Oryzias latipes: one gene and its partners. The main gene of each other region encodes a partner of the protein of the gene in region 3 in a complex. Links are inferred from orthologs where the notes say so. Each region holds a gene or a part of one and is shown on either strand. Other genes may lie near its edges.

Evidence for each region.
Region 1: MICOS complex subunit MIC26 (region 3) and c4h19orf70 share a complex: the UniProt entries of both Homo sapiens proteins name them as parts of the mitochondrial contact site and cristae organizing system (MICOS) complex. The link is inferred for Oryzias latipes from reciprocal best matches to the Homo sapiens genes APOO and MICOS13.
Region 2: MICOS complex subunit MIC26 (region 3) and MICOS complex subunit mic25a-like share a complex: the UniProt entries of both Homo sapiens proteins name them as parts of the mitochondrial contact site and cristae organizing system (MICOS) complex. The link is inferred for Oryzias latipes from reciprocal best matches to the Homo sapiens genes APOO and CHCHD6.

Annotation. Positions count from the first base shown.
Region 1 is NC_019862.2:7,384,426-7,388,645, forward strand, and holds c4h19orf70 (MICOS complex subunit MIC13), read right to left. Parts: upstream 2,913-4,220; 5' UTR 2,790-2,912; coding exon 2,761-2,789; intron 2,419-2,760; coding exon 2,262-2,418; intron 2,095-2,261; coding exon 2,034-2,094; intron 1,196-2,033; coding exon 1,098-1,195; 3' UTR 582-1,097; downstream 1-581. UniProt on the Homo sapiens protein: Component of the MICOS complex, a large protein complex of the mitochondrial inner membrane that plays crucial roles in the maintenance of crista junctions, inner membrane architecture, and formation of contact sites to the outer membrane.
Region 2 is NC_019865.2:2,285,741-2,290,005, reverse strand, and holds the start of MICOS complex subunit mic25a-like, read right to left. Parts: upstream 2,874-4,265; 5' UTR 2,761-2,873; coding exon 2,677-2,760; intron 1,380-2,676; coding exon 1,295-1,379; intron 1-1,294. Other genes in the region: E3 ubiquitin/ISG15 ligase TRIM25, read right to left, coding at 3,714-4,265. UniProt on the Homo sapiens protein: Component of the MICOS complex, a large protein complex of the mitochondrial inner membrane that plays crucial roles in the maintenance of crista junctions, inner membrane architecture, and formation of contact sites to the outer membrane.
Region 3 is NC_019875.2:2,473,139-2,476,187, forward strand, and holds MICOS complex subunit MIC26, read right to left. Parts: upstream 1,691-3,049; 5' UTR 1,667-1,690; coding exon 1,073-1,666; 3' UTR 583-1,072; downstream 1-582. Other genes in the region: eif3f (eukaryotic translation initiation factor 3 subunit F), read left to right, coding at 48-161, 344-424; protein PIH1D3, read left to right, coding at 2,216-2,314, 2,387-2,453. UniProt on the Homo sapiens protein: Component of the MICOS complex, a large protein complex of the mitochondrial inner membrane that plays crucial roles in the maintenance of crista junctions, inner membrane architecture, and formation of contact sites to the outer membrane.

The DNA of each region.
Region 1 (4,220 bases), on a different chromosome or scaffold from region 3:
ATCACGGACTAGAAACCCGTCTGGATGAAGACAGCAGCCTTGCGTTTGAATGTGAACACCCCCACATCATCAAAGTGCCTTCTGGCCTGTTGGAATCAGTTCGTTGCCCCTGACAGCCGCTCTTTAGTCCCCCTCCCTCAACAGCGACACTGACCCCGTCAGGAAAGCTGTGCAGCCGTTGGTTTGATGGGAAATGCATCCTTATCCATTGTATTCTCTCACTGTTGTGTTGTGAGGAGCACTTTATTGTGTAACGTTTACATATTCAGATTCAAGTAAAGGAGGAACTCGTTTCCTAGAATATACTTTTTTTGTTTTAAAAAACTGCAAAATGCTTTAAATGAAGAGGAGATAGTTCTGCTGGTGTGTACATTCTCTGTATGATCATAACAACATCTGTAGTAAACATGTGGACTTCCAGCTAACAGACTATTGTAACCGCCACAGGAATTCTCGTCTTGTACTCTTATATTTGCTTGCAGAAGTGATTTCATCAAACTTAATGTGATGAAACCGCAGTTCTTTAGCTCTTCGGTTCTGGATTTCTCCGTTAAAGTTGCATGAAACAGTGAAACCGTGCCTGAAGTTAGGAAACTTTATTTCTACATGTGGAAATAACGAGATTTAAAACAGACACTAAACATCAGAGCTGGGGAGCCCTGGAGGTTCGGATGCTCAACTGACGCTTTGGTTTCCTGTGTTTCGTGTCAATGTTATGGAACAAATAAAGTTTTTGTGCATATGATTGGTGTTTTTTTTATAGACATTGTCATGACCAGAACTTGAACATGAGACACTAAAGAAGGCATGAAAAGGTCAACTAGAATATTTACAACTTTTGGACATTTAGACTGAGAAAAAACCTTGCTTGGTGGGTAAAATGAGTTGGTTTACAGCAAAGAAGAGGTTCTTTAAATACTTCATTTCCTTACAATAAGCTCAGTCTTCATTACATGCCTCTTCATAAACAACTGCTTTTCTAGGGCTGATTTAGGAGTAGTAATGTGTTACCATAACCTTCCACTTGGGGAGGAACGAGGCTGAACCTCTCCAAAGTGAGCTGTTGAGTGCAAAAGTAAAACTGATACCGGGGGGGTTCACTTGAGGAGGTCTTTCACAAACTGAAACCCCTGAGTCGTCATTTCACTCGCTTTTGTTGGAGCTTCAGAAAGTCTGGAAATCGTCCACCGCACTCCTGCAATTAAAAAGAAACGGTTTTCAGGTCTCACAAGACAAATTTAAGGAAAACTGAAGGCGAAAGCTGATTGAAGACGTGCACACAAACCCAGGTGGCTGCAGATCCTTAAAAAGTCTCATGTTTTGTTGAACTACAATAAAGTCTTGTAAAGCATTAAATTGTCTTAAGGTCCCACTCGGATCATCTGTTGATCTCTTTTCAAAGCGTTCCCAGTGTTCTTATTGCCATTTTTAGTCTAAAAACCTGTCATTTTCCAGGACAGTTTCTGCAGGAGCTCATTTGAAATTCCCCTTTGAGTTGTGGGCGGGACTTTTGGTAAGCCTTCCCCCACTTCCCATCATCAGTCTCTTCAGCTAAATTCTTACGAACAGGTTTTAAATTTCTCATCGACTGATGTGACCTGTCACCCAAAAAAAAAAGAACATTTCTGGGATGCGCTGTGTCATAAGGTTATTAACTGGTGGTAAATCGTTTCACCTCTGCTAGCTTATTAGCTCGTGCTCAGCAGTGTGTGTCTTGGAAATAGGGATTAGTCGTAGTGGTTAAACTTATAAGTGGAAATCTTTATGAAGCAAACTCTGCGGTTTGCTGAAAGACATTTAAACTTTACATAGCAAGGATCATAGCAATGGAATCACGTGTAGAGCAAGAAACCACAGACTCCCAACTCTCTGTTTCTATTTTTGTGCATATAGGGTCTTAAATTTTAAAATCCTTAAATTTCACTTGAGCAAATCTGTAGACCCCCTGCAAACACAGAGGCACAAACTCAGCAGTGAAATGACAAACTGTTTCTCTTATAGAGGAAAACCCAAAAATGTCCGTCAGCTCTTACCAGAGTTCCACGCCTGGACCGGAGAAAATTCAACGTTAGGGATGGTTGGAAGCTGAGTCTGCTGACAGAGAAATAAAAAGAGGAGGTTGTGTATTAGTTAATGGGACCAGTGAAACTTAAGGGATGCATTAATGTGCAGATCTATAACGGTCCTCTTTAACCCCAGGAGAAGTCACCAAAGACCAAACAAACCCAAAGACCTCTCACTCAAACCTAGTTTGTTTGTACCTGAAGACCGAAGTACTTCATCCACTCCTCAATGGCGGGGGGGACAGCGGCTCTGGCCTTCTGTAGGGCCTCAGAACCTTGTTCGCTGCCCCCCAGCAGCCCGGAGTCATAGGCCACATACACAGCCCCTCCCGCTATGCCCACCTTGGTCGCGAGTCTGCAGGTAATCAGAGTCCATCATGAAACGCAGGTCATCAAAGATCGTTGAGACAGAGATGATAACACAAGTAAACATTTTAAAACGTTGGTTTGACAGAGAAACTAAAGGACTTTAGAAACTTCTCAAGACGCGCTGAGTACAAATGAGTAAATTATAAATGAGTAAATTAACATTCAGTTTTGTGGATACAGATACAGAACACATAGTTTATATTAGAGTTAGCTAAACAGGCAAAGAACATTTGTTAGCTTTGCTAGCTAGTTTGATTAGCTAGCTAGTCGGCTAATCCCGCATTTAGCATCACTTCTCCGAACATTTGTAAAGTAAAAATGAACTAACTTCACTACAGGCAAAAGCTTTGTCGCCATGATCCACGGGTAACCGAACTATCCCGAAGCCACGACTGTGACCTGAAAGAAGTCAAACCTAGCAGCTGCACTGAAGGACAAGCCGGATTCTTGTCCTGTCAACCACAGCTGTGTTAATAAAGTTGGATCTTGGAAACTTAGTTCCGCTGCAGAGCAACACATTCGTTCTGCCTCACTTTCTAATGCTTTATTTTATTTAACTTTTTAAATCACAGGTAAATACTTTTTAAATAAAAATGTTTAAAAATTATATCTAAAAATGAAAAATGATTTTTCAAAGGGGTGTGTCTAATGTGAAGTTCACGCCCAAATCGCAAGAAAAACAGTGAAATGGGGCGTTTAACAGATGTACTTTTTTCCATGGGACCTCCCTGAACTTGTCTGAGAGCAGTGTTGCCAAATGCAGCCGTTGTATAACCACAGATCAGCACAATTCCACAAAACCCAGCAGTCAGACCAGTTGCTGCTTTTTCCAAAATGGCTTTTACTAAAGTCTTGATAGTCAGTTTATGTGTAGTTTTTTTAGCTGTCAAGTGGACTTCACCCACTTTTGATCCAGGTGAGCAGAAATCTGTTTCATTTTTTAGTCAGTCTTATTATTTAAGGGTTTGAGGCTCAGGGTGGATGTTAGTGGACCTTCTGGGGCGTGCATGTGTTCCTAAAACCGCATTTTGCAGAAATGATCAGTCATTTTTCGCAGTTGGGTTTCTTTGTATGCTTATTTTAATTAATTTTTAATACTCATTGAATGTTTCCTGTTGCTATCATTAATTTGGAGTTATCTACCATTCACAGATTTGTGTGCCATGGCAACATAACGAGGATCATAAAGATAACATTACCTTTGCTTATTGGCGAATGGGGCCACAGGTTCATGTCTTTACTTGCATATTGAGCTGACTATTCCGGTTTTTTCCCCTTTGCTCTAAATAGTCAGCTCAAACATATATAAATAGGATGAAATTGTGAACATTTCTGCACTGAATTAATTTACCTATGCACAATAATGTTGCTGAGGGTTTACTATTCCCTCTGGGAAAAGTGGGAGTGGAAACCAGGTAAACGGTTAGAATCTGCTTCAGTGGCTGAGAGGCCTGACCTCAGCGAGCGCAGCTTTCATGCAGAAAAGCTGATCAGTCAGTTTTCATGCTATCCTCTGGTAATATCACCATCCTTAACAACTGTAACAAACTCCAGCAGCGCTCAATCAGAGCTCAGGGTCACAGGTTGAAACGTGTTCTGATACTATAGGAGGTTCTGTGAGCCGCTATCTCTTCATGGGGCAATTATAAACGCCGCATGACTGCGGTTGGATCTTTGTACACTTCTGTGTTATCACACATATAAGGACCAGTTGTTATCAGTCAGTTCAGGGTAACATAAATGTTTTTTTAGATCATCATCATCATTTGTTTATAAAGAACCTTCCAC
Region 2 (4,265 bases), on a different chromosome or scaffold from region 3:
TTCTAAGGCCCAAAGCGCTTTACAGTCACAGTCCCATTCACCCATGCACACACATTCACACACACACATTCACACACTGTGCTGCTTATAGTGTACCTTCATCACACTGAATGCTCCAGCCCACCCACACCCCAGAGCTAGGGGCAGACCGCGGGCCCGCCACCACAGAGACGGAACCAGAGGGCAAGACCCAGCAACCCCCCGTCAAGAAGTAAGAGAAACAGAGAGCGCGCAGAGCCGGGGCCCCCCGCCAGGGCAGCGACCCGCTCCACCCCAAACGCGACCACGCGGGACTTACAACCGGCACCCAGATCAGAGGCACGCCACCGTCCGGGAGTCCTGAGCCCCCATCCGCCCCCACCCCCGAGGCAGGCCTGGAACACCCATGGCCAGCCCGCACTGCGCAGCCCCGCCGAAGACAAACCGGGGGAAGCGGCAGAAACCAGCGACCAGCAGAGGCCCCAGACAGGGCCAGGGCCCGGTGAGCCCGAGGACCAGGCTCCGGTTGCTGTGAGCAACGATGGAAAAATTGGGGGGGCCCTGGAGTCCCAAGAAAAGGGGTCCTTCCCGCTCCACGGGCGATACTGCCCTACCCAGCTCAGATGTGGACGTCCTCCCCGCGTGGAAAAAGAGCTGCAAGGTCAGGGGCGCAAGGGACCCCTAGCCCCACCCAATCCTGGGGGGGGGGGGACAGGGAACAGTCCAATCAAAATTTGTGGACCCCTATGTGTCTAAAGCCAAGAAAGCCTGATTGGGGGGGGGGGGGGGGGGGGGGGGGGGGCTTTTAGCTGTAATTTATGTATTTCCTCAATTGATAATCATGTTTTTTCCCCAGATTGATCATTTCTTTATCACCCCCCACTACCAACTTGTTCATGCAGAATGACCAAATCTGTATTTTTTCCCACAGCCTCCACTGTCTCTGGAGGGTTGTGACCACCAGAGCGTGGTCCTTACCGGGACGGAGGGTTTCTCAGAGGTGTGATGCCTTTGTGCTCCCATGATGTTTATACCCAAACACTGTTTCAACAACTGATAACTGTGGAACCTTCAGCCTTCTGGGAATTGTACTCAAGCAAGACCCAGACTTTTGTGTTGTGTCGACCAAAAACAGAAAAAAAAAAAACCTCCTGTGACACAGATTCTTGTGTTAAAACCCAGACAGGTGATCGTCTCCACCTGAGACACAAACTTATATGTATCTCAGCTATCAGGACGGGCACTTTGGATGTTTTCAGCAAAGACTTTTCTTGTGGGACACAAAATAATTCACCAATTGTGAAGTGAACTATACCTTTGTCTCCTTGAGGGCCTGAGGACAGTGATGATTGACTGATGTTGGCTACTCCTCGCATCCTCTGAAGAACATCTTCTGACAGCTGGTAAAGAAAAAAAAGAGCTCGCTTAGTCACAATATCCAGATTATAAGCATAAAGATCTCAACTCTGCAATAGCTATAAAAACTCAGAATACCATGAATGTTTGAGGAAACACAGCAGGCCTATTTAATTTGGGCGCCTGCTTGTGAATGGCCCAGGAAAAATGGCTAAAAAAAATAAATAGCTACATGAAAAACCACAGGAGGCAGATCAAGTCTATGAGTCACTGATTCTGTGACTCACAACTTTACATGTGTAACCAGCGTTTCTTTTTCTTTTTTCTTTGTTTAAACAAAGTTTTTTTCAGTAAACTGCAAAAAAAAGACTTATATAATAGCAAAACGTTTTAAAAAGGGGCCAACTACATTGGTATGGGTTTTTACCCCCATGCAGCCATTAAATGTAAGAATTACCTTAAAATTTATTTTTAAAAATGAAATAGAAAAAGTCAGTCAAAACACAAAGAAAGATCTAAACTGCAACCCCTCATTCGGCTGGATGTGTACAGCTAAAAGCTTTTTAAATAATTCTGAACTTCCCCAACAATAAAACACACAGACAGTTATGGTGTAGAAAAACTAATGTTGATTTTATTTGGCTGCATAAATGTCATTTATTACACTTTGCTGAGTGGCCGATCGCTCAATTCCTACTCCTAGTATTGGTCGTGAACGCATCACTGTCAAGCCAGCTATTAAACCAAACTTGATTTAAAATCTGTTCAATTAAAACTGTTAAATTAACACAGAGCCTCGCTTACAAATGTAATTTATTAACAAAACAAATAATAGTATAGCCCAGTCTGTGTAGTTTGTTTTTCATGTTTTATTCGTCCCTTATTTGTTGCTATTATTAGCTGAATTCGATTAAGATATTAGCCAAAACCCAAGCAACATGCTAAAGTCCAAACGCGTCATTTAAAACAATATTTACGCATCAATGTAGATAATATTTGCGCCGAATTCACTATAACACACCAAAGAGTTATGAGATGTGTTGAAAGTTTATGAAATGTTTTTGTTTTGTTGGAAAATAATGAAGGAACGCTAAAAAGCGCTTGTTTACGAACGAGGTTCGGCGTAACCGAAAAGGTCACTTTGGTTCATCCCTGCTGAGCCAGCCCCTTCCTCCCCGTCTGTCCTCACCGTTTCGCCACTTGTTTCGTGGGTTCTGGACGAAGCTCTGCCTTCGCTTGGAGTACATTTAGATGTGGAGGAGACATCTTTCGGCGGGGAGTCAGCGCTCCACACACCCTATTAGCCTTATCATCACACGCTAGCAGAAGTAGCATAATTACCTTTACTCCGCGAAGGATCCGGACTCTGTCCTCCTCATCCACGCCATAAGACACTTTTCTGGTCGTACTTTCCCCTAAGCCCATGCCGTTTGTTAGAATGAGCCCCCCCTCTTTAATGAAAATACTGATAGTACTATCAAAGAATTCCGTTAAGCCCCTGTCCAATGACAGAATGTGTGACAGATGGGATGCGGGTTGCCAGGTTTGCTTGGAAATGTCCCCAAATGACCCGATGTTTGCGTGTAAGTGCAGTAACCTTTTCATATGATTGATTTTTATTTATTTATTTTAAGTGAAGCAGCAATTTTTTTTAAACATTTCTTAAAAATTTAAAAGTTGCAATACTTGCAAAATACTTTAGTAAATTTAGGGGGTTATCATCAGATTTGGCAACGCTTACACCATATGCTGCATTTTATACAATTTAATTAAAAGTACCTTTAAAAGTAAATAAAAATAATAAATCTTTATGGTAACGATGAGTCAAACGTTTGCCAACAGACAGCAAACATTCTGTTCAAAGTTTATTTAACCCCCAAACACAAAACATGTCTATAATTCTTCTTTCCATGGTGGTTCACCGGGTTAACTTTGCACAATGACATTGACAGCTGGTGCAGGTGCACACGTTTTACTATAGTTTGGAAAAAAAAGAAAATAGGAGACAAAACTAAGACCTCTTTACCAAAAAAGGTGAATCAGCCAGTGTCTATGTACTTTCTATTTAATTGTTTTAACAGAAATGTAAAAAAAAGAAAAAACTGTAAACATGTTTTATTGTATTAGTTGTTTTTTGCTCATAAGTGTAAATATATTTAGAATTATTGTTTCTCAGTAATTCCTCCCCATCAATAAGTCAATACTTTTGTCATTACAAGATTTAAATTAACATTTAGGAATTTAAAACATATGATACACCATAAATGATAGTTTGTGTCTTTTATAAACAAAAAAAAGAACAAAGCTTTCGTGTTAAAGGAATGCCTTGGCTTGTGGATCTCCAAAATGTTCTGTAAAGTTGATAGTGAACAGTCATTCTACATTCCATTATGAAGCGTGATCCAGGAGTCTGGGTTGCTTGAATGAATGCTGAATGCTGGGAAAACGGGTTCTTTGAACACAGCTTTGAAGGTGTAGATGTGCTCTCTGCTGCCTTTGATGCTGTGGAACGTCAGGGTTCCACCCTCATAGTCCAGCGCCATCTCCAGTTTGGTTGGATGAGGCTTTTTCTCTGGAATCACAACATTACTGGAGGAGCTGCACACGGTGAGTTTGCCATTTTTCCACTGGAGTCTCCAAGACACGGTGTTGTGACCCAGACGGCTGTGGTCACCGCGGCGTGGGATGCTCTTGTAGCACACGCCCATGGCCCACATGCAGTTGGGCCCAACTTCCACCACCCAGACGTGCTGACCGCTGGAGAAGCCCTGGCTGCATAGAACCTGCGGCGCACTGGTGAAGCGCTCCGGGTGGTCCATGTAGGGCTGCTTGTTGGAGGTGAACCTGACTGTGCACAGGTCAGTGGACACATTTAAGTTGGGGTGGGCGGTACAAACGTTAAAGGTGAGCTCCTGCGGGTTGAGGAGGAT
Region 3 (3,049 bases):
AAGTGAAGTGGGTGATCTCTGGTGAAAACCTGTTGGATCTGTTCCAGTCTGGGAAAGTGGCAGCAGATAACAGCGTTGGCCGGTTCCTCACAGACCTGGTGAACAAGGTGCCGACCATCCCACCTGAGGACTTTGAGAACATGCTCAATTCTAACATCAATGTAAGTGCTTCCCCTGATACTGTAATTACAATTTGCATGAGGTTTTTTTTTACCCTTTTGTACTTCTTGACATTGTGAAGATTAAAAGATACTAGCATCTGTACGACTGTGGAACTGGAATTGTTTCTGTGAAATTCAGTTGTGTGTATTTTCTACATGGACGTGCTTGTGGTTTGCTGCAGGACCTGTTGATGGTGACGTACCTGTCCAACCTCACCCAGGCACAGATTGCCCTGCACGAGAAGCTGGTGCTGCTCTCCTGAAATGAACTATTTAAACTTTCTTATTGTTTGGCTGAAGCAAATAAAATGTTAAACAGTCGCATCATGATGTTTTCTTTGGGGTGGGGTGGATCTTACATATAAGAACATCTCAAATTTAAGTTTACCACTAATTAAGAAAACATGTTGAGTATTTGTGACAGTGGTATTGCGTGTTTATTCAGCTTACATTTACTCTTTGAGGTTTCAAAGTGACAATAGTGTTTAAACTCTTTATTTCAGATTATAAAGAGGATTTGGTCAAATGCACAGAACTCTTAAAGTGGAGGAATAATTATGAAAAAACTTTAAATATATTTACTTTGTATTTCCTCAGTAACTTCATTTAGTACTTTTTGTCCTATTCAAGTAACAGTAGACAGCACGTGAGACTCCGTTAAAGTGTTTCAAGTTCTTTTATCCAAAGCAAAATATTGATCTTTATCATTAAATATACATTCAAATCCGTAGCAGAGGTCAATTATTAAAGGCAAAGTCTGGCCTGAGTAAAGCATGAGGAATAGTGCAGACATCAGAGTGGAACCTGTCCAGGTCCATCATCTACAGTACTAGAAAAGCTGCTGCCGCGTGATCCGTTATTGCTGCGCGGGGACGTCCGTCCGTCCGTCCGTCCATCCATCCATCCATCCGTCATGGTTTCGTCTCTGCCTTGCTGCCTTTTCCGTCTTTGCTCTGCGGGCTGAGGAGCTTCTCCGCCGCAGCGAAGCCCCGAACCGCGTATCCGTACACCGAATCCCCGGTTGACTTTGCGATGGTCACCGCCTCCTCCGGGTAGTACAAGGAGGCGCTCACGGTCATCAGACCAGCGGGGTAGATTAACTTCTTAACCCTGGAGCCTCTTGCGAGGAACAATCCGAGGAGCCCCGTGAAGCCGATGATCCCCGCTTGCGCGTAGAAATCCTTGGGATGGTTCTGCAGGTAGACGTAGGAGTCATTTCCGGACTGCACGAGACTCTCCACTTTGGGTTTCAGTTTACCGACGGTGGCCTGACACCATCCCGTGTAGGGCTCAACTAACTTCCTGAGGGTGGCGACGTGCTCCTCAAGCTGCCCCGCCGCTGGCTCCACATAGTGAGGCTTTTGAGGAGCGGTGTACAGGGACAGGTCATCCAGCTTTAACCGGGCCTCGGGCTCTTTCTCCCCACCATCTGCGGCATCAGCAGCCCAAACGAGCGGCAGCAAGCGCGTGGATCCCGGCATGGCACTACCTGTCACCTTGAACATGATCCCTGAGGGCCATACATCAGCTACGGTGTCCGAGAAGGGACACAAATCATGACGCCGCCTCCCAGATATTTGCGTTCGTTTTGCTTTGACAGTAAACTTGTATTGTAAAATTGTATTTGTTCATTTAAATGAATATAAAAATAACGTGATTGAAGTTGTTTTTTTTTATGAACACGACTTTATATTCCATTAAAAAAATCTGATTGTTGGATAAAAAATATTCTAGACTCTTCCTGCCTTAAGTTAAAAATGTTCTAAAAAAAGAAATAATGTTACAAAAATGTTCTTTAGTCAGTTCATCTTTGCTAAAGAAATAAATTTTTTCTTTTCTTTTTTTGTTGGTTTCCATGGCAGCCTGAAACCCATTTGTTTCCATGGTGACGAGCGTCAACGTTCCAAACGTGCAGTTAGCATAGCAGCTGCGAACTTTAGTGTCTGTCAGATATTACGGTCGTTGTGGCCTTTTTTTGGTGACTACATTCTACACCTAAACAAGGCTAGTGTTAGTTTTAACATCCATCTTTTGAATAACACGTTTTCTTTCCAATGGATTATGTGGGTTTATCATCCGAGGAGACCCTCAGGGCTCTGTCTGCCCTGTTATCCACCAAGCAAGAAGACGAAGAGGAGGAGGAAGAGGATCAAGTGAGATTTAAAAACACTTAAGCAGAAAGAGAGAATGAGGAAGTATGTCAATACTTTTTTTAACCTCACCAGAGAGTGACTCCATCTGCACAGCTGGGCCCTGGACAAATTGGTCTCCCTCCACAGAATTCTAAAGAAGGTAAAAGGGCAACATTCAAGTTCTGGGTCTCATTCATGTTTTAAAAATATACATATTTGTGCATTACAAAACAACGACAAAAAACACAAAAAATTGGGAAAATCCCTTTTTTTAAATTTGCAGATAATGCAGAGAAACCCTTTATGTGGCTTATACTGAACCTAGTGTAATGCAATAAAGCAACAAACACTAAGGATGTCACAATTACAAACCAAAACCGATCCGTGTGTTACACGGCTGAACTGCATCATTGGTCAAGTGAACCGTTTCATCTCTACTGCGTACCAATATGGTTACGTTGAAAGTGTCAAACGTATTGTGCTAAATTGATGAAGAATTTATTGTTCATTGTTGTATTGCATGTATTTATTGTTATATTACATTACACAAGGCTAAGCTAAAACCATCTGAAAAGTTTTTCTTTATTGTCATTTAGCAATTTAAAAAAAGGGTTTTTCAGAATTTCTTTTGTTGTTGTTGTTGGTCTGCAATACACAAATCATGCAAGCAAGCAAAATCGTGACGCAAAAATTGAAATTTAAACTGAATTGAAAGTGTATCACTGCATCCTTAATAAACAGTAAATCCCTCTTAAA